3 linked regions of the Mus musculus genome follow. The protein of the gene in region 2 interacts with the protein of the main gene of each other region in a pairwise test. Links are inferred from orthologs where the notes say so. Each region holds a gene or a part of one and is shown on either strand. Other genes may lie near its edges.

Region 1 (7,351 bases), on a different chromosome or scaffold from region 2:
AAGTGAACAGAAACTCAAAACCCACTTCCTTCTCCCAGCAGGAGGGGCAGGCATCACTCTTACAAAGCAAGTGGGCAGCAGGACCCTGAGGACACACCGGCAGATGGCAGGAGATGTAGGTGAGCAGTAGTTTGCCTAGCATGCACAATGCCCTGTGTTCCATCCCCAGCACCTCACTAACCAAATGCAGGCTTTGAACACACCTGCAGTCAGTCAGATGGGACAGGAGAAAAGGACCCTTTGCCACCTTCCTAATTAGACAGGGGCTCTCTCTGACCATCAAGTCCCAGGGCTCTCCCAGTCTCTGCCCCCTACAAAGGTGTAGGGGCCTCCATAGCCATACACAGTTTTTAAGAGGGTGTTGGGGATTCAAACTTAGGTCCTAGTTCTTGTGCTGCACAGAGTTGTCCACTGACCTCTGCACATACTGTGTGCTACATACATTCACACATATCATACACAGGATGACTTTGACGATGATGATGGCTATAATACACATTCTAAAAAAGAAAAAGCAAACCCCACAAGCACAACTGAAACAGTTAAGACCATAGTTCCTTCAAAGTATAGCACTACTCATGAAAGCACACATCTGCAATCCCAGATTTTTGGAGATAGAGGCAGGAGGATTAGAAGTTCAGTGAAACTTAGCTATGTAGAATTTTAAGGCTAGCCTGGGCGCATGAGATTCTATCCCAAAAGAATTAAAATTGCTGCTTTTAGGGAAAATCACACAAAGCACTCTGCATGCACACTCTCAGTCAAGTGCCAACAGCTCTCAGTGCCAACTCAGTCAGCTCTAGAGGCAGCCACCACCACGCTGCAGTCCTGCCCCTGTTCTACCACCAGTGTGCAGGGATGCCAAGGGACACATAGGAAGCTTTTCCAGAAACCTGACACCCACGGCACTGTTTCAGTCTGCCCATCAGGGGGGACAAGTCCTGTAAGGCAGGTCTTTACATCACTTTATAAGTCAGTGGAGGTTAAAAAAAAAAAAACAAAAAACACCCCAACCTGAGCCCAAGTGAACCCCCACCCCCAAACCCAGAAGATGCAGAAGAGATGCTCTATAGAAAAACTACAAAACTTGGGCTAGAGATATGGCTCAGGGGTTAAGAACACTTACTGCTCTTCCAAAGGTCCTTGAGTTCAAATCCCAGCAACCATATGGTTGCTCATAACCATTTGATGAGCACTTCTGGTGTGTCTGAAGACAGCTACAGTGTACTCATATAAGTAAATAAATCTTAAAAACAAAACAAAAACAAAAAAACCACTACAAAACTTTAGAGCTGGAGGGATCTAGGGTTTCTATAATGACAAATGGCTTCATTTCTTTGAGGTGAAAGCTGAGACTCCAGTAATTTGGCCAGCATCTTCCCACTTCTGGCTCTAACTCACTTCTGGCTTACCCCGATTCCTTTCACTCTCAGCTCAGGCCTACCTACGCCCTGCAGCCCCAGGCCTCCCTGTCACGCTCCTAGGTCATCCTGGGCCCCAAGGTTGGCTGCTACGTTTTGCCTGTGGGACTTCTGCCATTCTCCAGAAACACACCATCAGAAAGCCCAGAACATGGACAGACAGACAGATGGACACAGATACACACACACAGCCAACCCCGACAGCTCTGTCACACAGCTGCCTGCAGAACACAGTAACTTTAGCAGAATTGATAAGGAGAGCTAAACAAGAGGTATGGCCATGTCTCCAGGCAGAAGGCTGGGGAGGAAAGACAGGTACACAACCCAGAAGGGCCCAGCCAACAACAGTTTGCTGTGCTGCTTACAGCCTTGCGTGGCTCACCCTGAGACTGTTCCTCACACGTGAAAAAGGAAGAGTGTGTCCAAGCCAGGTGGCCAGAGGCATTCCATGGGATAATATCAGAGAAGCCTACATGCTTCCCAGGACCCCTAGATTTAACCCATTAAATGCCAGTCCTGCCACTGTAGGTATATTCTAAGTACCTATCAGTCACGTGTGGCTGTGGTAGCCACAGAAAGCCCTCCTGCACTAGGCTATCTCCATTTCCCTCTCCTTCTCCCAAATCCGGCTTCATCCATTATTCCTTATAATCCCTAGTTCACTGCCTACAGTAGTGCATGTCACACCTTCCAGTGCTCACCTGTCTGGACATCGACACCTCCTGCTTGCAGCTTCAACCCCTCCAGGTACACATCCGAACTCGTCTCCTTCAGTACCTTCCCCTTTCCTTCAGGACTCCCCCGCTGACTTCAGTCCCTCTTCCCCCTACCGGAAGCAGTGTGTCTTATACTTGGATAGCAGACACCCTGGTGAGGCGCTAAGGTGAGTACCACCTATAAGCAAACAGATAAAAATCTCACCTAAAAAAAGTTCCCGTGTCAGTGCCCCAAGCTCGAAGCCTGGGCTTTCAGCTCAGTCAAGCTCTAGAGAGCTACTGAACCACACGGCCTGGGTCCAAGTCATTCCTACCTTTTGTGGTCTTTTGGCCTACAAAAAAAAGTCGCTCCACCACAGCTAAAGTGACCACTGGAAAAAATATGTAAGCCAGGACTAGGGACATGGCTCAGTCACCAGTCAGTCTGACCTGTGAACATAAGGCCTGGGTGTGATCCTCAGAACTCCTCAACCTTTAAGAGTCTGCTTCCCTGTTACCTCTTGCATCCCCTTCCCTCACCCCAGCTACTCTCTAGAACCCCCAAGCCCCAGCTGCCTTGAAGGCACTCTTAAGTACCACCAACTTGGCTAATCCCCACCTCCCAACCCTTACCAGCTGGAGCTGTGTCATCTGCCTCCAGCACCCAGCACTGGGCCGCAGAGGGTATCCACTCCCTCTTTAAAAATGCCTGGCCCTTGCCTTTCACAATCATCAGGCCATGTTCTTTCTTGGGGCTTTACCTCAGGGTACCAGACTGCCGGTGTAGCAAGCAAGTCAAGGACTGTTTATCAATGACAATAGCCCGAGGAAAGGATAATCCTTGTTCTAGAGATTTCCAGGACTGAAAATGATAAGATGTGTACCATTTGGCCCCAAACCTCCACCTCAGGGAAGACAGCCACCCTTAAATCAGGATCCCAGAAAGATGGACCTTTAGTTTACCTTCGTCCCATCAATTAGACCACTGTAATCAAGCTTTACTTTCCTGGACTGGTTTTGGTGGGCTGTGTGTGGTAACAGAAACTACCACACATTGAGGGCACAATCTAAAAGAGCTTTGACTGCCCAACTCCCGTTACTCCCAGCGCTGCCATTCTCCACAATGAGTCGGTCCCACACCAGCCTCCACTGCACGGTGAAAACAAACGCACATGCGAAGCCCCACATCCCACCTCCTCTTTGGTTATGCGTGGTCCTCTGTTGACCTATCAGATGGTGCTACTTTTATCCCTATTTACAATTCACAAACCTCAAGAACACTCTAGTAGAAGCTGAAAAGCTCTGTGGACCTCAAGATAGAGAGCAGGAGGCAGGAGATCCTAGGAAGGAAGGTCTCTAGGGATAGGTGGGTCTGAAGGCCTCTCCACCCAAGAAAGGATGGGAGTCTATGGGCCTGGAGACCCGAAGCTTTGGAGTTGGACCAGAGGGGATCTGTTGGACTTCTGGAGAAGATATAACGGTCTCGGGCCCTGAAGCCGCCGAGGTCTGTGTGCTGAGTCTGAGGGAAATCTGGAGGATGGTGAGGTTTTCTAGGTGTGGAAGGTAATCAGGTCCACAGGTGGCCGCGGACCCAGGCAGCCCAGGGGATGTCGGAGGCAGGGTCCCCAGCGCATCAGAGGGCACTAGGGTCCTGGGCACCCTAGGCGGGTTTTGAGGGCTGGGGAGACGCGAGGCGCTGGCACCCAGCCCCGACCCGCCGCCTCACCTGCCGTGCCACGGAGACACCAGTGTCGCTCGCGCTCTCGCCGCCTCCCACCCGGGTCGCGCCCCTTCGGCTGGGTGGAGCCGCCGGGCGCTGCGCCGGATGGCGCTGCGCGTGCACCACGCCGAGCCTGCCCAGCCGAATCCGCAGCGCTCTCTCAAGGCCTTCCCCCCGCGCGCGCGCACTGCCCGCGCGAACGTTCCGCCCTGAAATCAACGGCCCCGCGGCAACGGGAAGCCCCGCCCGAAGGGGCGTGGCCACGACGCGTCCCGCCCCCAAGAGAAGCTACGATTGGACCCACGGACTGTGCTGTCGTGTCCACGATGAGCCTGGTCTTAAGAGACTGAATGTCTCGCGGCCAGTCTTCCCAGCGCTGTTTTGTCTTCAGTTTCCCCATCTGCACGCCTGGACAGCCCCGCGGAAACGCAGAAGGCGTTGAGCTCGGCCGGAACCACCCTTGGGCAACCACTTCCAGCCGGGCTCACTCCATCTACCTCAAGCCACAGGCTGTACAGCCTGTGCCCTTCCCCAGCCTAGCATGCTTCACGTCCTCCCCGCAGTGACCGACTCCCTTACCACGTGTCAGAGTAGGCGTCTGGCCCTTCCGATGTGCCTCTTGGACACGTCTAGCTTGGGCTTAGATCCAGGGACTAATGAGCATATGTACCCAGGTTCAGCACCTGTTAATCGGGTGAACTCAGTGCCCACCCCGAACGTTCGAGAGTACACGTGGGTGGGCTCTGCGCTGGAGCACTCAGCATGAGGACCTTTAAAAGTCAATGACACCTCTCCTTTCTCTAAATAAGGCTGGGATGGATCAAAGCCTATTTCCTCTTCCTCATCTTCCCAGGTCGGCCTGCCCAGGCAAGTTATTTGGACTTCCTCTACCTCTGGCTCCTTTTTTTCTACATGGGTTTGCTGTAAGCATCCCTTCAGCCCCATAAGAAAAATGCATGTGTAATAAAACCTGGGTTTTTGTTCTTTTCTTTTTGAGACAGGGTTTTATGTGGCTTTGGCTGTCCTAGAACTAGCGCTGTAGAACAGGCTGGCCTCAAGCTCACAGAGTTCCACCTACTCTGTGGGTGTAAGGTATACAAAATCACTACCTGGCCAGCTTGAAATTTGTGGCACCAGAGCCCAGAACAGTGGTTTGAACACCTGAGTCTGGGTACCTACTAAGTAGCTGGCCTTTGAGAAAATGTTTTTTTCAGTCCTCAGGACATCTCCCATGAGGATGGCACCCCATTTACTGCAATTAACAGCAGGAGAGGAGGAAGCCCAGAGAAGTTGTATTGGCAATACCAACCATGCATTGGCTTCAAAGGTCTGGGCTTCCCACTACTAGACTGAACAATTTACATGTGATGCAATTTAGTTCACAAGCTCCTGCTTCCATAAAGGGTCCTAAGACTTGAACCTGTGACACTGGAGAAGTTCCCGGGTTACAGGAAGGAAGTTGTTCAAGGAGACTGTAGGCTAGGAGCTGAGGAGTTAGAACCCACAGCACACCACCCACACACTGGATGCCCTCCAAGATCCAGTGTGGCAGAGCCTCAGTAATCCCAACTCTCCATCTAAGGTCAACACAGATCGGAAGTCTCTGCCCATTCAGCCAAGCAGCTTTACAAGGGCAAACCCACAGAAGGGACAAAAGGGACACCTTAGAAACAATGCCCTCCTCTGTATCCAAGAGAGACAGATGAACACTTTCTACCCAGCCTGGCAGTACTAGGATCACCCTGATTTACAGGGAGTCTCAGAAAACTGCTTTAATCCCTGTCCACTGTGTTCATTCTGAGTAGATAATGTAGCGCCCGCCAGTGTGTTCCTGCAGTGCGTCATTCAGGTAGGCTGAACAAATTCATGAATAGGTGTGTGCACAAAATATGTTTCATGGCATGAGTTCAACAGACCAGATTCCTTTCTTTGTTATACCAAAGGTGGCCTTGGAGGCAAGCAGCAGTGGCTACCCCAGGAGATGTCAGTCTGTTTGAAATGCAAGTGCCTGTGGAAGTCTGCGAGAGTAATGATTACAAAGCACAAACTATGTGCTAAACTTCCCTGTGACACCTCTTCCTTCACTCTCACAGCAACCCTGTGCAGTAAGGATTGTGACTTTTTTCCCCCACAGATTCAGAAAACAGAGTCAGGAATGGGGAGATGTCTCCTTGTGGGTAAAGCATTTGCCATGCAGTCATGAAGACCTGAGTTTGAATCCCCAGAGCCCACCTAAAAGTCAGGCATGGTGGCACATCCACAGTGAGATGAGAGGCAAAGACCCGAGGAATTCCAGAAGCTCCAAAGCCAGCGAGTCTGGCTCATGACATTGTGAACAACATAAGACGGACCCTGACCCAAACCCACAGAGAAGTTTGTCCTCAGATCTCCACAGTAATGCCATGGATACACACACACACACACACACACACACACACACACACACAGGGACTTAACTGGTCAGTCAAGCTGCTTCAGTGTGCTGCTGTCTGGTTTGCTACAGAAAGAACTTTGCACAACCAGAAAGGAAAGAACTGCCAGACTCAGTGAGAAATGCTAGGGTGGTAGAAAAGACACAACAGGTGTCCCACGACAACATATTGTCACCCCCTCACACCCACACACGCCCACCAGAGATGAAGCTAATGCTTTATTTATTTATTTATTTATTTTTGGTTTTTCGAGACAGGGTTTCTCTGTATAGCTCTGGCTGTCCTGGAACTCACTTTGTAGACCAGGCTGGCTTTGAACTCAGAAATCTGCCTGCCTCTGCCTCCCAAGTGCTGGGATTAAAGGCCTGTGTTTCGTTCAGCCAGTGGCTCACATGCCTAGGTTCTAGTCTGGAAAGGCATCTTGGAAACCTGGAAGAGAAGAGGGGGGCTAGGCGGCATGTATGCGCGCGCATGCGGGGGGGGGGGGGACCAAGACAGGCAGTCTGATCAAGGTTCAATTTTATTATTTCTGACACTCAGTTATGAAGCAGGGGAAGGGGCCCGATTCCCGCCAAATCATCTTGGAGTAAGGTTGCAGGTGAACACGTGATAGCTCCGGAACAGCTAGGTGGCAGGCAGCAGCAGTGGGAGTGGCAGGACGATAGGGCAGCAAGCTCTGCCCCAGGCTCTCTAACACTGAAACCTGAGCAAACTGGTTTCAGGCTAGGGAGGGGAGGTTACAGGCCTGCACCACCACTGCCGGGCTGAAGCTGGTGCTTTATAATAAAATTGGAATGCCTCCAGCAAACAGACCCTGCATCAGTGTACAGGGGGGCAAACAACAGATCTTGAGTCACTACCGCAGCCTATATAGATACCAAGCACTATAGCCACTTGCAGGTATGTGTCATCCTGCATGCAAGCCATAAACACTAAAGACAGAGGAACCAACAAAGACCCTCACCCTGCTCCACACACACCCAAAGTCGTCCAGGTTTCCCTGCCTCTGAGCAGAAAGGATGATGCAAGATGACTTTGGCGGTAGGGCTGCTTGGAAGAACCTCTAACCCACTTCACCCCGAA
Region 2 (7,503 bases):
ATGCTCAGTTCTGCTGCTTACTGTTCTCACAGCTGGCTCATTACTCTCCCGTCCCCCACCCGCTTGCCAACACTCCAAGAACTGCTTCAGAATAGCATTCATTCCTTCAGATATTCAATAATATAAGGGACTTTCCCTCTGTGAGCCCAGCTGTGAGCTGGGCCCTTTGTACCTCTGCCCTCTGCTCTTCACAATTGTGCTGATGGCTCTGATAGTCATTCCAGATATGATAAAATGTAGGTAATGTGTAAAGGTGAAGCCACCCGCCTGAGGACCCATAATTATTACTTAGTACGAACCGGAGGCAGGACTCAAACCCTCTTTGCACAGCAGTACCTCTTAGAGATAAATAATATCAATCCTGCCTGGCCAGGAAAGGCCACTAGAGGCATGGGAAAGCCAGTGCATGTGCAGGCCCCACATCCAGGCCAGAGATCCTGGTGGTTTACACCCTCATTTCTACTATGACAGAATCATCCAGTCATCTAGTGGAAAGTTTACCCAGGGCTCACAAACCCAGGGATGTAGGCTAGAGGAAATAAGAGCCAGGATCAGACTAAGCCCTAGTCCATACACATCCTTCCTTCCCACTGTTCCCTGGGGCTTGTGCTCTGCCTCTCTGAGAACCCAGCCTAGTCCCCACACTCCTGCCCTACTTATCTGGACAATGGCATCTGGTCCCCACAACACAGAATTCCAGTTCTGAAGCCTTTTCTATTCAGTGTGCTATCCCACCATTGGCCTCAGTTTCCTCCTGTGTAAAATGAAGGTACCTGTTGCACACAACACTGCAGGAAATGGTAGCAACAGCTGGGGAGGGGGCGGTGCTTGAATTGTGACTCAGTGCCCAGCTTTCCCCAGCATTCAGACTTCTTCCCTCGGGGCTAGACCATCTGCCCCACCCACTTGAGTCTCTATAGCCCAGGAGGATGCTGGGACCCAGTTTGCAGGTGGGGCTTCTGTGATGAATACAGTTCAGCTTCTGGGTGGGGTCCCTGGGCCAGGGTGACATTATTCATCTCCTATCCACACCCTACCTGCCCAAGTCCAGCTGGACCCAACTAGTCTGTGGAAAAGATACCAAAAATTTTGGGCCAATCCAGCTTCCAATCCTTCCTGTCCCTGAAGCCAGGATTCAGAGGGGACTCTGGGGAGGCTGGAAGCAAGATCAGCCCAAGCGCAACAATATATCACTTGTTCTGGAGAGTGGAAAAATGGGGTTTGTGACATGCTGGGATAGTTCACAGTGAAACACTCATGTTTTAGACACGAGGTGCCCCAAATGGGAATTAGATAGTCCTTGTTAAATGTTTGATCATAACCAAGATGCTGCCTCAACCGGTTTCCTCTTCCACAATATGGGAAGGACCTTCCCTGGCTAGGCTACCTCTCCAGTCATCAGTGCTCACCCACACGTGTAGGAAAGACATCCTCATCATTGATGAGACCCTCGATCCAGTCCATGAGCAATGCCATATAGCGGGGTGCTGAGAGCTTGGCGGGCCTTCGGTACTGACGCTCGTCCTGCCAGCGGTACTCGTAGCGGGGCCCACCAGCCATGACTGGGCAGCTGCTCTCACTGCAGTGCTCAGCCATGGTGCCATAGATGAGGTTGATACGGTTGAAGAAGTCCACCACATGCACAGCGATCCAGTCATCGATGCTCTCCCCAGGCGGCAGCCTCACCACACTCCGAAGGTCCAGGCCGGACTTGAGTGAAGCTTGTGCCTTCTTATATAGCTCAAAGCGCTGTGTGCCAGGCTCGAAGCGCTTCCGGGGCCGGAAAGTCTTGTCCTTCGCAAACACCTGTTTCAGACACAGTGCCATGGCCAGGCGGGTGCAGCTGGATCTCTCGGCACAGGGACTTGAAGATGACCTGCCAGAGACAGGGGCAGGGGAAGTAGTGGTCAGGGCCTTAGAAAGTGGGTTTTGACTTCCCAACACATCATTTTTCTCTAAGCTGTCAGCCCGGGGACAGTTTCTTTACCTCCATGAAACTCTCATCCCCAGCAGCGTCAAATCCTTTGTGGTCTACTTTAGCCGCACACCCCACCCCTGAAGCAGCGCCACAAGCCTTTCTTTCTGCTTCCTTTCCTCCCTGCTTTCTTGAAATCTTGCAGAGGGTGTGCCCTGGGCTCCAAACCGGTGCTTACAGGACTTACTGTTGAGCTTTACAGAAGTGACAGAGGGTTTTGCAGGCCCCAGACAAGGTATCCTCTGGAAGCCCCATAGGCCATCTGTGTAGTGAGAGAGCCTGGCTGCGCTGTACTTGAGAGGGGGGTGGACTTTGAGTTCCTCTGGGATATCCCGAAGTCCATCTGGCCACCGGGGATTCCCAGGGAACAGAAGGGACTTTTCTACCAAAAATGTCTTTTCCGTTTTCTTTACACTGAAAGAGGAAAGGGCCCTCACAAGGCCAGCTGAGTGGCCTTAAGTGTGGCTGCAGGCTCTGCAGGAAGAGGAGGGTGGCAGGCCCAGAACAGTGTTACTTCCTCTGACAGACACTAGAGTTCCTTTCCTCAAAGCTAACCCCTCCTTCAATTCCCAAACAGTATGAGCCGCTGACCTTCCCCTTGCACCCAACACTCCATGGATTTTCAGCATGCCTACTATGTATGCACCTAGCACTGGGGGCTGGGGTAGAACAGCCAGACTCACCCTACCTGTCCTTCTGCATGTTTGCGTTACCTCTTAGAATAGAAGGATCCCAGACTCAGCACAGACTTCAGGGAGCATCCACCAGAGTCTCCCAAAGTCCTGGGATCTTGTCCCTGCTTCAAAACTAGCTTGCTTGCATCACCATGGATTTAGTCCATGCGAATCCTTGAACACCCTACAGGTAGGTGTCTGAGCATCTCAGGCATTTCATCTCGCGCACCAATATACATGAGCTATTGGAGGACGCAGATCCAGGCAATGGCCAAGACTGCAACAGCCACAGACTGAACACGGACCCTGAACACAGACTTATAAACTAAGCTCAAGTTCCATGCTAAATTCTGGCTTGCCCCCAGCCCTGGTTAGTCTGAGCCCTGAGCCTCACACTGAATGAGGCTTGAGACAGTGGCAGAGAAAGCTTATCCTTACCTCTGACTGCCTCTGACTCAACTTTGAAGCAAGTTTCCTTTTTCATTGATAACTGCTGGGGCAGGACTGGGGAAGAAAGGGAGGGGATAAGGCATTTCTGAGGCCTCCGCTTTCCTTTGGCCTCCCCATTACTGATTGATTGTTACAGATTCTCTCACTCTGCCTTTCAATTCCACAGCCTACCTTTCCTGACCCACCGGCCTCCAGCAGCCACCCTGGGATTCTTCTTGATCCCTAAACATGTCCTCACTGTCCTGCCTGTGTGTCTTTTGCTGGTCAGTTTCTGTTTTCTCTTTCTATCTGACCGAATGATCCCTTCTTTGGCAGCTTCCTCCAGATCCCAACCTTGTGTGTGGCTTCTCTGACTGCTTGTTCCTACCCCTCTCCGTCAGGACTTAAGTTGGTGGCTAGGCTTTAGCTTAGACTCTAGAGTCTTAGAGTTGGCTGGGGAGATGTCTCAGTGGGTAAACTTGCCTGAGTTTGATTCTTGGGACCAACATGGTGGAAGGAGAGCACTCCCACAAACTGTCTCTGACCTCCACATGTGCACTGTAATGCGCACATAAATGTGTGTGTTCCCGAGCTCATACGTGCATGCATGAGCAAGTGTGTGGACACACATAAATAAATGTAATTAAGTTTTGAAAGTAAATCTTGCCTCTCAATAAATGAAAAGTGAGGGGGAAAGAACTGATATCAGCTCTGGGCCTCCATCTCTGCATGCCCATCTTCATATACCCACAGCACCACACACACACACACACACACACACACACACACACACATACACACACACGTTGGGATAGCTGAGAGGTCAAGTGGTACGTCCCACATGAACAGATGGCGAAACTGAGGCCTAGGAGGAGGATTTGAGGAGCCTGAATTTGCACAGCAAGTTAGAAGTAGGGGACTGGTATAAAAAGGGACTCAGCCTATGACAAGGTACAAAGTGTCCCTTTCCTGCTGTCTGGCCACTGGCCTGATATAGATAATTGTGAAGGAAGGGAGTAGAGAGGCCCCACCTCCTTAGTATAGAACTTTAGGCCCCAGGACTTTTCCTAGAAAGAGTAAACTTGGAGGTGAGTACGGAAGGTAAGCTAAGAGGGCATCCCGTCTGTTAGCACTATCCTCTCCCAGCCTCACACGGAGCCTCTCTTCCTCTTCCCTGTGGACCCCCCACTTTAATTACTAGGTAGGTGGTCAGTGGTTTGCTTACTCCGTGACCAAGCATTTAATCTTCCTAGATGAAGAGCACAGGCTGACTGACACTGCCTGTTTGTCTTACCTCGTCCCCTGCCAGGGACACACCTGCTCCTTCCTTAGTCTGGCTTAGAATCAGCCAGAAGATGGTCCCAGTTTGAACTCAGAATCTAGCCTAGCACGCCCTGCGGGACAAGATCTAAGTTTGAGATTCTCAGAGAAAGAGGGAGCGACAGACGCAGCGCTGTCCAGCCAGACCCGCCCCTACCTCCCGCGAGCTCCTAAGAACCTCCCCTTAGCTTCAGCTGTTAGGGCCAAACAGGTCCTAGGACCCAGAGGAGCCAGCCTGACATTTCCGCTCCTGAAGACACGCCCCCCACCACCGCCAGCTACCGCCACCCCCACCCCGGACTTCGGACACTGAGAGCCTCGGACCCTGGGCTGAGGACTGTGGCCAGCCTGCTTTTGGGCCGGAGTCGCTTCCAGAAGGTGCCACGCGAGGACCAAGAAGAACTAAAAGTGGAAGCAAGACTGGGCCCTGGGGGGCGCGGAGACGCGGCGCTCACTCACCCGCTCCGCCTGAGTGGACAGCTCCGGGTCTCTGTCCCTGCGGCCACACCGCAACGCGCCGGTCGTCCTCCGGCCTGTGATCCCGCCGTGCGGGTCTCAGCGTCTACCCACCAGTCTGATCTGGGCCGCGGCCGCCGTCCCGCCGCCAGTGCTCGAGGAGACGCCAGCTCCGCCCCAGGCTCAGCCACGCCGCGGCCACGGGGCGGGGAGGGGCGGGGAAAGGGACTCCCCCGTCCCAGGATACTTACTCTTCTCTTTAGCCTTTCCGGGAAGTGGGAAGTCCGATCGGGCTCGCTGTCTCCCCGAGGGCAAAGGACTAACTGAGGAGCCGCCCCAAAGGACCGCCTGGATCTTCCCTAAGGAGATAGCCTCAGATTCATAGGCTGTAGAATGGGAACAAGTTTAGCTTCCGCCTGAAGCAGAAAGAAAAACCGCTGTGGTTTGAATGGTTTCCTAGCCCTCCTGCAGTTATCTGAGCTTCACTTGTCTTTGAATTCAATAAAAGTTCCTAGCAGCCAATGTGTTCAGCTTCAGTCCACTGCCATACAGAGCAACTCAAAACCCACCACTGGAGGCTGCTGCTGGTGGATGGCGCATGTCTTTAATTTCAACACTAGCGAGGTAGAGGCAGGCAAATCTTTGAGTTCCAGGCTGCTAGCCAGCCAGGCTAGCCAGGGCTAGGTGGTAAGATGGTCTCTCTCTCTCTTAAAAACAAAACAAAACAAAACAAAACAAAACAAAACAAAACAAAACACCAAAACCAAAACCAAACCAAACCAAACCAAAACAACCAAACACTTAAATGAATAGCACACGTATGGGAGCCGTGGACTGGGTCAGTCCAGACAGAAACATTCCCAAAGAATGTTCAAAGAAGACCTCGCCTTCCTTGCACCTGGTTCTGGTTCTGTAGACTCTCACACCATCCAAAGTTACCCATTTCCTATCTTCCTTTGTCTCTGTTGTTCTTTAGAATGGCTTCTCTCCCAGCCTGTTCCATCTGGCTCCAAACCTTTGCATACTTGATCTACACTACCCACTCTTCTACCTAGATTCCTCCCCTGGAAACAGGCTGCTATCCCACATCAGTGCTCAATGCATACCATGGCTTGGCCCCAGGAACCTGTCTGCAGGATCTGCCTAGGGTGAGGAGGTTGAAGACAGAGTTCTACTAGGTGAGTGCTATGGTTAACCTTCATTGTTAGCTTCACTAGCTTCGGAACTACCAAGGAGTCGCCTCTCTGGGAGTGTGTATTCCCAAGGGGTTGTTTAACTGAGGAGGACTGGCTCTCCTTGAATGTGTCTCCTGCCATCCTGAACTAAACTAACAGAAAGGTGGGTGAGGGTGGGGGAGCCAATAGAGCACAGGTGTCCATCCACCTCCATTTCTTCACCACTGTTCCAGACTCTTGCTGTCACAGCTTAGAGCCTGTCTTGACATACTTTCCCTACCATGGTGGACTGCACTCTCAAACTGTGAGCCAAAACAAAAAGCTTTTCCTTAGTATTTTGTTACAGCATAAAAAGTAAGTACCACAGAAGGCCAAGGCAGGCAGCTGGGCTGCCGAAGACATCCCGGAGGACATGAAAGCGAGAAGGAGTGACTGCGGAGACATTGGAGCCTGAGGCTTTATACTGAGACACAACTGCTCCATTGGATTCCCTGGCTCTGGGTCTGCTTTCTCAACCACATGAGAACACACTTAGATCCTTAAGAATTTTAGGTTAGGGGTTGGATAGATGGCTCAGCCGTTAAGAGCACTGACTGCTCTTCCAGAGGTCCTGAGTTCAATTCCCAGCAACCACATGGTGGCTCAAAACCATCTGACACCCTTTTCTGGTGTGTTTGGAAAGAGCAATGGTGTACTCATATACATAAAGTAAATAAATCCTCTTTAAAAAAGAATTTTAGGTTAGAACTGAGGACTCATCTTTGACTAGGGGCTTCTCTCTATCTTCCTCTCTTTCTCTCTTCCTTTCTTTTAAATTTATTTATGTATGAGTGCTCTGTTGCATGTACACATACATGCAAGCCAGAAGAGGGCATCAGATCCCTTTATAGATGGTTGTGAGCCACCATGTGGGTACTGGGAATTGAACTCAGGACCTGTGGAAGAACAGTCAGTGCCCTTAACCACTAAGCCCTCTCTCCAGCCCCGTAAGGACTTATTTCTTCTCCAGCATAAAATTTCTTATAAACTTTTACATGTTGATGGAATTCACATTTGACATACTGTCAATTTGATATAATTATCAGAGCATTTTTGTTGAGTGTGACAGTGTGCTGAGATTAAGATGATGAATCAGTCACTGATTTCAGGTGCTGACAGATCAGCAGCTGCAACACAACATATGCAGGTAACCATGTCAGAGCTTAGTCGTTCAGAGATAGAAGTGGGGTACATAATGCACTGATGGTCCAATGCTAGGCAAGGGTGGGGATATTCACAGGCAACCCAGAGCACCCTGTTTTGAGGAGACTTTAACAGTGGCACTGCATATAGATGTAACTAGTTGTAGGGAAGCCATGTACAGACTATACCACCAATGAGATAGCAAGGACTGCAGATAGCTGTCAGCAACCCTAAGCTGAGGTACACTGGGAATAGGAGATATGAGAAGGCTATAGCTAGCTCTGTGGCCTAA
Region 3 (7,345 bases), on a different chromosome or scaffold from region 2:
TTACTCATTGTGAATGCCAAGTAGAACTTGAACTGTTTTGGTTGACTCGATTGCTATAAAAATACATAGGAAGCAGATTCTAGCCTAACTTAATATAGTTCCTATTCTACATTAATTAGGGATTCAAGCTTGAGATGAGGTAAGTTTATTAGTTTTTGAATAAAGCAGATGATATGAATAAATACAGATGACATTTCTCAATCTTAATCTTATAATTGATTGATGTCAGTAACCACTTTTTTTTTTTTAAGGGAAAGAGGCTGGGGTGGTTAAAATATAATGTATTTATTTGCAAAATGCTTAGAGTCTTAAAAAAAAAAAACACATTGAAAACCAAGCATGTCATTGTCACACTTTTCCATACTACAGCAGCCACAGCAGGCAGGTTTTCCTTCTTCCTCCAAGGTGTATGGCACAGAACTGTCTGAAAAATCACCAACCAGAACTCACCAACTCACTCTGAGGGCCTTTATCCAAGTACAGGGCCTACGGCACCTGATGGCAGGTGGCAGTACGGGTAGATGATAGGAAGACACCCCAAGTCAAAGCTTTTGGTGGCATGGAAGTCCCCTCAGTCAGCTCACCGAAATTATGTTGTCATAGGTGACAAGTTTACACAAGTAAACTCAAACTCACTTTAGAATTCATCAATTTTATTTCATATACAAAACTTCATTACACCAGGTACCAAAATTAAGGCGAATTAAGTCAAAGTGGCTTTGAAAAATCTAAATCGACACAGCTCAACACTCGTCTTGGGCTTAGTTCAATCAGAAGTGTTAAGGAAACTGGGCATGGGGCTCTCACCTTTAATCCTAGCCTGGACTAAGGCAGGATTGCTGTGAATTACAGGTAGCCTCATCTATACAGTGCTTTCTAGGACAACCAGGGACATAGAGTGAGACCTGTATAAACAAATCAAAAGTTCCATTGAGGTAAGTTGGGCATGGTGACAGACCCAGGCTGGAGAGTTCAAGGCCAGCAGGCTACATAATAATGCTGTCTCAAAAAAAAGTGTTAGCAAATATTAATTTATAACACTGAGAAAATGTGCTTTAAAAACTTGTGTGCATGGGCATTGTTCCTGCAGGTATGTCTGTCTGTGCACCATGTGTGCCTGGTACCTGAGCAAATCCCCTGTTGCTGCTATTACAGGCTCTGAGCCTCCATACACTTACACAGGCAGTCGCCATACACAGGCTCTGGGAACTTAACTCTTGAGTCCTCAGACACAACAGCCATCAATCTGAATTTTAAAACTTGAAAGATGAGAGACCACCATTTATCAACTGCTCTCTTCACTCCACTCCCACCCCAAAAGGGAAACTCCAGGTGGGTGGATGTCTGTGGGTTCAAAGCCACTCTTGCCTAGTGAGTTCCAGGACAGCTAGGGCTACATAGTCTTAAAAAAAAAAAAAGAAAGAAAGAAAGAAAGAAAGAAAGAAAGAAAGAAAGAAAGAAAGAAAGAAAGAAAGAAAGAAAATTAGCCGGGTGTGGTGGCACACGCCTTTAATCCCAGCACTTGGGAGGCAGAGGCAGGTGGATTTCTGAGTTCGAGGCCAGCCTGGTCTACAGAGTGAGTTCCAAGACAGCCAGGGCTACACAGAGAAACCCTGACTCGAAAAACAAAAACAAAACAAAACAAAACAAAAAATTAAGAAAGGCAGGGGGAAAAAAAACAGGAAAGAAAGCCTGAAATAGGCTCAAACATACGAATTTTTAAATTAAGCTTGTGCAACATGGTGGTTCACACCTGTAATACCAGAACTCGAGATACTGAGGCAGGATCTTTGTGTGTATCCCTGGCTGACCTAAAATGTAGACTAGGCTGGCCTTGACCCTGTTTCAAAAATCGCTCCCAATAAATAACAGATAAATCGACCTCACTTTGTGAATTAATGAGTGTAAACGTGCTAATGTTTTCCAAATAGAGCATAGTTAATGGGGAGGGTGAGTTTAAGGGTTCTTAATTGGCAAGGCCTCTTTCTGAAAAACAAAAACAAAAAAGTAAACTAATATAACTTAGGGAGGTTCATTTCCAGCTTAGACCGATGTAATCACTCTAAATTCCATACGCGATGCCAAGAGCTTTTCTCAAAATCCTAAAAATTAATTCTCATCTACACACCCTGTCTTCGGAGCTGCACTCCCTTCGCGGCCGCACGCGGCGCCCGCAGCAGCTGACTCCTCCCCGTTCATGGGGAAAACCCTGCCTAATATTTATAACGCTATGACATACTGTAATACTCACAAGGTGGTTGTAGAAGTATAAACACGACTGGAGATATCTGATTGGCTGCTGGTGATGTAACACCCATGTCAATACTTCCCACTGAACGCACGTGTTCGACCTTTTATTTAAATTTCCATTTCATCACAGCAATAAGACACTCGGGGCGGTGCATTTTCTGCGAAACGATCGTCGCCCGGGGCCAGAGGTGCTGCCCGGCGTACACAAGGAGCCCAAGGAGGTGTCCTCGCGAGGGAGGCACCGCCTGGTCCAGTCTTTTGTGCAGGAACAAAATAAGTTCACTTCCTCGGGCACGGCCACCCACCCCTCCCCCGGCAGATGACAGGGCCGGGCGCGCTCCCACCGCACTTACTCCTGGAGTCCCAGGTGAAGTCGTGGCGAGAGCCGGGGACCGTGCGCACGGGCGCGCCGCGGCGAGCCGGCCCCTGACACCCGCCAGCTGTTTGTCCTGGCCGAGCCGGCCCCGCCCCGAGACCCCAGCCCGTGCCCCGCCCGCTTCCTTCCCGTGGCCGCACCCCCGCCCGCGGGCCCGAGCGGCCGGCCCCTTTCCCGGTCCCCGGGCGCCCCCGGCCCAGCCCAGCCCGGCCCAGCCCGCCCCCTCCCCCGGCCGGCCCCCACCCTCTCCCCCTCCAGCGGTTACTGCTACCCCGGTGCATTGTGGGCGCACGGTCCGTTGTTCATTTGCCATTCGACCTCCGCCAGGGCCTGGTCGGACGGAAACGCTCCGCCGGCTTTATTGTCGGCTCGCTATGTGGCGGAGCCTGGCGGCTTAGCGCGCCTCTCGCGTCCGCGCCTCGGCAGCCGGCGGCGGCGACACGACTCCCCCCGAGGACGGAGATCTGTTGGCGGGCCGGTGTGTGCGCGCAGCGCTGAAGCGGGGCAGCGGAGGGGCAACCGCACTCCTCCTCAACTTCGAAGGCCGCACGCGCCCGGCTCGCCGCTCCGCTGCCCGCCCACCGCTCCGCGCGGGACGCTGCCCGGAGCGCGGCGGGGCGCGGGTGGAGAGGACGCGGCTGGGACGGCGGCGGCAGTAGACGCGTGCGGCGGCCCGGGAGCGAGCGCGAGCCGGCGGGAGGGTGAGGCCGGGCCGGCGGGAGCGCAGCGCAGAGCGGCGCAGCGCAGCGCCGGGGGCGGGGGCGGGGGCGAAGCGTTGGGGGAGCCGCGGCGAGCGCGCGGGACGCGGCCGGAGCCCGGGCGCGAGCCGAGGCACCGGGCGGCGGCGGCGGCGGCGGTGACCGCGGCGCGCGCCATGTCGTTCAGTGAGATGAACCGCAGGACGCTGGCGTTCCGAGGAGGCGGGTTGGTCACCGGCGGCGGCGGCCCCACGAACAATAACGCTGGCGGGGAGGCCTCTTCTTGGCCTCCGCAGCCGCAACCGCGACTGCCCGCGCCGCCCGCGCCGCAGCAGCCGAATGGGCGCGGGGCCGACGAGGAAATGGAATTGGAGGGCCTGGAGCCCCAGGACTCGGAGGCCGCCGCCGGCGCGGCCGCCGCCGAGGACGTCAAGGAGTTGCTGCTGCTCCCTCAGGACACGGGCGGCCCCTCCTTGCTGGGCGGCGGCGCGGGGGGCCCCCTGCTAGCGGAAAGGAACCGTCGGACTCTGGCCTTCCGCGGGGGAGGCGGCGGGGGTCTCGGCAACAATGGCAGCAGCCGCGGCCGCCCGGAGACCTCGGCGTGGCCCCTCAGGCATTTCAATGGGCGAGGGCCGGCGGCCGTGGATCCGGAGCTGGACGCGCTGGAGGGGAAGGAGTGGATGCAGGACGGGGCGTCCCTGAGCTACAGCACCGAGGAGGAGGGGGCGAGCCCGGGCGATGGCAGTGGGGCGGAAGGCGGCAGCTGCAGCAGCAGCAGGCGGTCGGGCGGCGATGGTGGGGACGAAGCGGAGGGCAGCGGTGTGGGAGCTGGCGAAGGAGAGACTGTCCAGCACTTCCCGCTCGCGAGGCCCAAGTCCCTCTTGCAGAAGCTCCAGTGCTCCTTCCAGACCTCTTGGCTCAAGGACTTCCCTTGGCTGCGGTACTCCAAGGATACCGGCCTTATGTTCTGCGGATGGTGCCAAAAGATCCCCGAGGATGGGGGCGGCGTGGACCTTACCCAGGTGGGGCATGATGAGCTTTCGCGAGGGACCCGCAACTACAAGAAAACCCTGCTCCTAAGGCACCACGTCTCCACCGAACACAAACTCCACGAAGCCAACGCCCAGGTACCGTAGATCCTGCCTTTGCTTTTCGACCACATCTTTTGGGAAAGGTTTATCAGTGGGGAAGACTAAAACTAAAGTAAAGAAGGGGGGAAATTAAGATCCTCCGGGGGAAGACTCACTTCGTTCCGATCGAGAGAGGTTCGCGAGAGCTTATGCGTAGGGGTTTAGAAAGCCTGGAAACAAAGTTTTCCAAAGTTGTGGATCTATTGGGGGAGGAGGGGTAGAAGGACAGTTTTCTAATGATATCGCTGGGTTTATCTTCTTTTTCGAGTTAGGGTTTGCCTGTGAGATTGAATCCGAGAGAGAGGCTGGGAGAGGTTGGAGATTTTAACCTTTGATTGACTTTCGGTCAAAAAGGATTTTTTTTTTTAAGTCAGAGGAGATTTTAGAACTGTCCCTTCTTGTGTTCGTAGACACTAAAGTACTAGAAGTAGCCTGAAGAATGGATTAAACAGTTTCCTTAAGCTTCGGTGCTACAGGCTGTCCACTCTTAAACTCGTGTCAGGTCGAGATAATGTGAAATATGAGAGGCTTATGCAAATGTACAGGAAGTTAGTTCAGTAGGGTAAATAATTTTACGATGTCCGTCTCTGTTAAACTTGTTTGGTATAATCATTGTACACTTTAGCTAGTTACTTACTGATATTTCTCTTCTGAGTGTATTATCCTTTTCAAAAACATGGTCGTGAATAGCTTATATGAAGGGTGTTAATCTTAGCTCTGGAAATGTTTAATGTGAAGTGATTTGGGCTTCATTTGCTCACTGGAAACCTAGTTACAGAGCAAGCCTACCTATGAGCTTTAGTCCCCCTCCCCCCTTTTTACAGGAGCCTGACCGTTTTGATAGCCCTTTTCAAGTCAAATAGCTGTTGGTCAGTCTTCCTTTTTATGACTCAGACAACCTGTGGTGGTGGGTGGAATTGATTCTTTTGTGTTGCTGACCGACACTCAGGTATTAGTACCTCACCATGGTGTTTATGGGAGCCATCCTGCTGCTCAGCACACTTACACTATAGTTTATTAGTCACACAAGTAACCCAGCTTAGAGAGGCTTTAGTTTTAAAAGCATGGGTTATTTTGTTTGGTTGGGTTTTTTTTTTTTCCCCCAGAAGGCAGGGAAATGGAGCTTGTTTGGGTTGAGTTTTTATTTGCACAAAATTTCCTAAATCTTAGAAAGGTCTCTCCCCTATCCGCCCCCCCCTTCTTTCTCTCCTCTCTAGGGTCTCTGGCTACCTTGGAGCTCTTAAGTATATAGACCAGGCTGGTTTCAAACTCACCGATCTGCCTGCCTCTGGAGTGCTGGGATTAAAGGTGTGTGCTACCACACCTTCTGAAGGTCACTTACTTTTAAGATGTAAAGCCCATTTAGTAAATTGCCTTAAACCCTGGATGACAGCCTGAGGCTAGTGCTTATAAAGACTTTTGTAATGGGGGAAAAAGTGAGCTTTGAGCAAATGCAGGTTCTGATCTCAGTTTTCTTTATCACTACCTTTGGAGTTTGTCCTGGAAGTTTGATAGGCCTGACACTTTTGTTTTAGCTGTATCAGACTCATTTACATTATCCAGGAAAGTAAATTTGTTTCCTTTTATAGAAGAAGCATTTCAGTCATTAAAGGGTTAAGGCTTTTCAGTCTTTAAGAGTTAAGTAATAAATACCTGGAAGTATTTAGTAAGATGATAGAAGCTGTGGCTTGTGAAAAATGGAAGGCTGAATTTTCCAAGTATTGGTATGTAAGTATTTTAGATTTTTTTAATTGGAATGAGTTTTTAAATCTAGTATTTAGAATATTCTGTTCTGTAGGCAAACATGAGTGGGACTAAAAATTAGCTGCTCAGTGATCCATAACTCAGAGGGGATTAGGTGGATAATCTTATGGTCCACCCTAGTAAATGGGTGTATCCTGCAGGCGTGTACCTAGGTCTCCAGAGCTCAGTTCTAGGGAAAAACCTTTTGTCAACTTGACTCTGAACTACCCTTTCCATTTCCCGACGACATGGTGGTTTTGTGTGAGGTAGGAGCCATCCCACTTTTTAAGACTTGGGTTAACGCCTTAAACTTGAGGAGTTATGTATTGGTTTCCTTGGTTGAATTTTAGGTGTTACCACTTCATCATTTATCTTCACTTGTGACTAACCTTTGTTTGAGGAATAGCTTATTCTTCCAAGAAACACCTGTAAAGTCTCTTTCCCTTGTTAACAGTGACCGGTTCCTAGCAGGATTTGATGGGGTGGGGGTTGTGTGGTTGTTGTTGCCCTGTAGCCTTTGGTTACCTTTAGGAGGCAGTGTAACATTCTGTAAGAACATTCTTGGGTCCTGGTCCTCTAACCGTTATTTTGTATCATGCTTATTTTATTATAGCTTACTCTTAGACAAGCGTGAAGACAGTGTCTTGTCCCCTGGTTGGCCTCATGCCTGCTTTGACCCTCTTACCTATTTCTCAATGTTTGGACTCCTGGCCCACCAGGCCCCAGTGAGGGTTTAACTAGTGTTGGGTAGCTGATCTGGTACCTTACCCTGGGTAGACCCAAGCTCTCACTGCTGAGCAGCACTCCCCACGCCCAAGATTGGTTTATTTCCTGGTCCCTCGTTCATAAGTGCCAGCGTTTACATTTTTATCTTACTACAACAGAATCTTGGGTAGCATGGTTTGACCTCAGAATGTCTTTGTGTCATCCATTTTGAAGCCACTTTGTAATGGTATTATTCTTGAATGGAGAGCAGATTATTTCCCCATTCATACTTTCCAAGACTGAGGCCCATAAGCCTGGGCATTTTGAGTTTTTCTCACTATAAATGTAATTCAGTTTCATAGTGTCCTGTATTATTAGCTTCCTCATTTTAAAAATGAGATGGAAGCTGCTGAAGAGATGGCTCGGTGGTTAAGAGTGCTTGT

The links.
Region 1: the proteins of Mob3c (region 2) and Fam118a interact in binary tests that used the Homo sapiens proteins (3 or more experiments, as listed by UniProt). The link is inferred for Mus musculus from reciprocal best matches to the Homo sapiens genes MOB3C and FAM118A.
Region 3: the proteins of Mob3c (region 2) and Zbtb10 interact in binary tests that used the Homo sapiens proteins (3 or more experiments, as listed by UniProt). The link is inferred for Mus musculus from reciprocal best matches to the Homo sapiens genes MOB3C and ZBTB10.

What each region holds. Positions count from the first base shown.
Region 1 is NC_000081.6:85,033,736-85,041,086, reverse strand, and holds the start of Fam118a (protein FAM118A), read right to left. Parts: upstream 4,026-7,351; 5' UTR 3,843-4,025; intron 2,316-3,842; exon of another isoform or gene 2,135-2,315; coding exon of another isoform or gene 2,123-2,134; intron 1-2,122.
Region 2 is NC_000070.6:115,825,596-115,833,098, reverse strand, and holds the start of Mob3c (MOB kinase activator 3C), read right to left. Parts: upstream 5,020-7,503; 5' UTR 4,858-5,019; intron 4,473-4,857; exon of another isoform or gene 4,373-4,472; intron 3,154-4,372; exon of another isoform or gene 3,088-3,153; intron 1,877-3,087; 5' UTR 1,828-1,876; coding exon 1,410-1,827; intron 755-1,409; coding exon of another isoform or gene 744-754; exon of another isoform or gene 1-743. UniProt on the Homo sapiens protein: May regulate the activity of kinases.
Region 3 is NC_000069.6:9,247,630-9,254,974, forward strand, and holds the start of Zbtb10 (zinc finger and BTB domain-containing protein 10), read left to right. Parts: upstream 1-2,937; 5' UTR 2,938-3,500; coding exon 3,501-4,451; intron 4,452-7,345. UniProt on the Homo sapiens protein: May be involved in transcriptional regulation.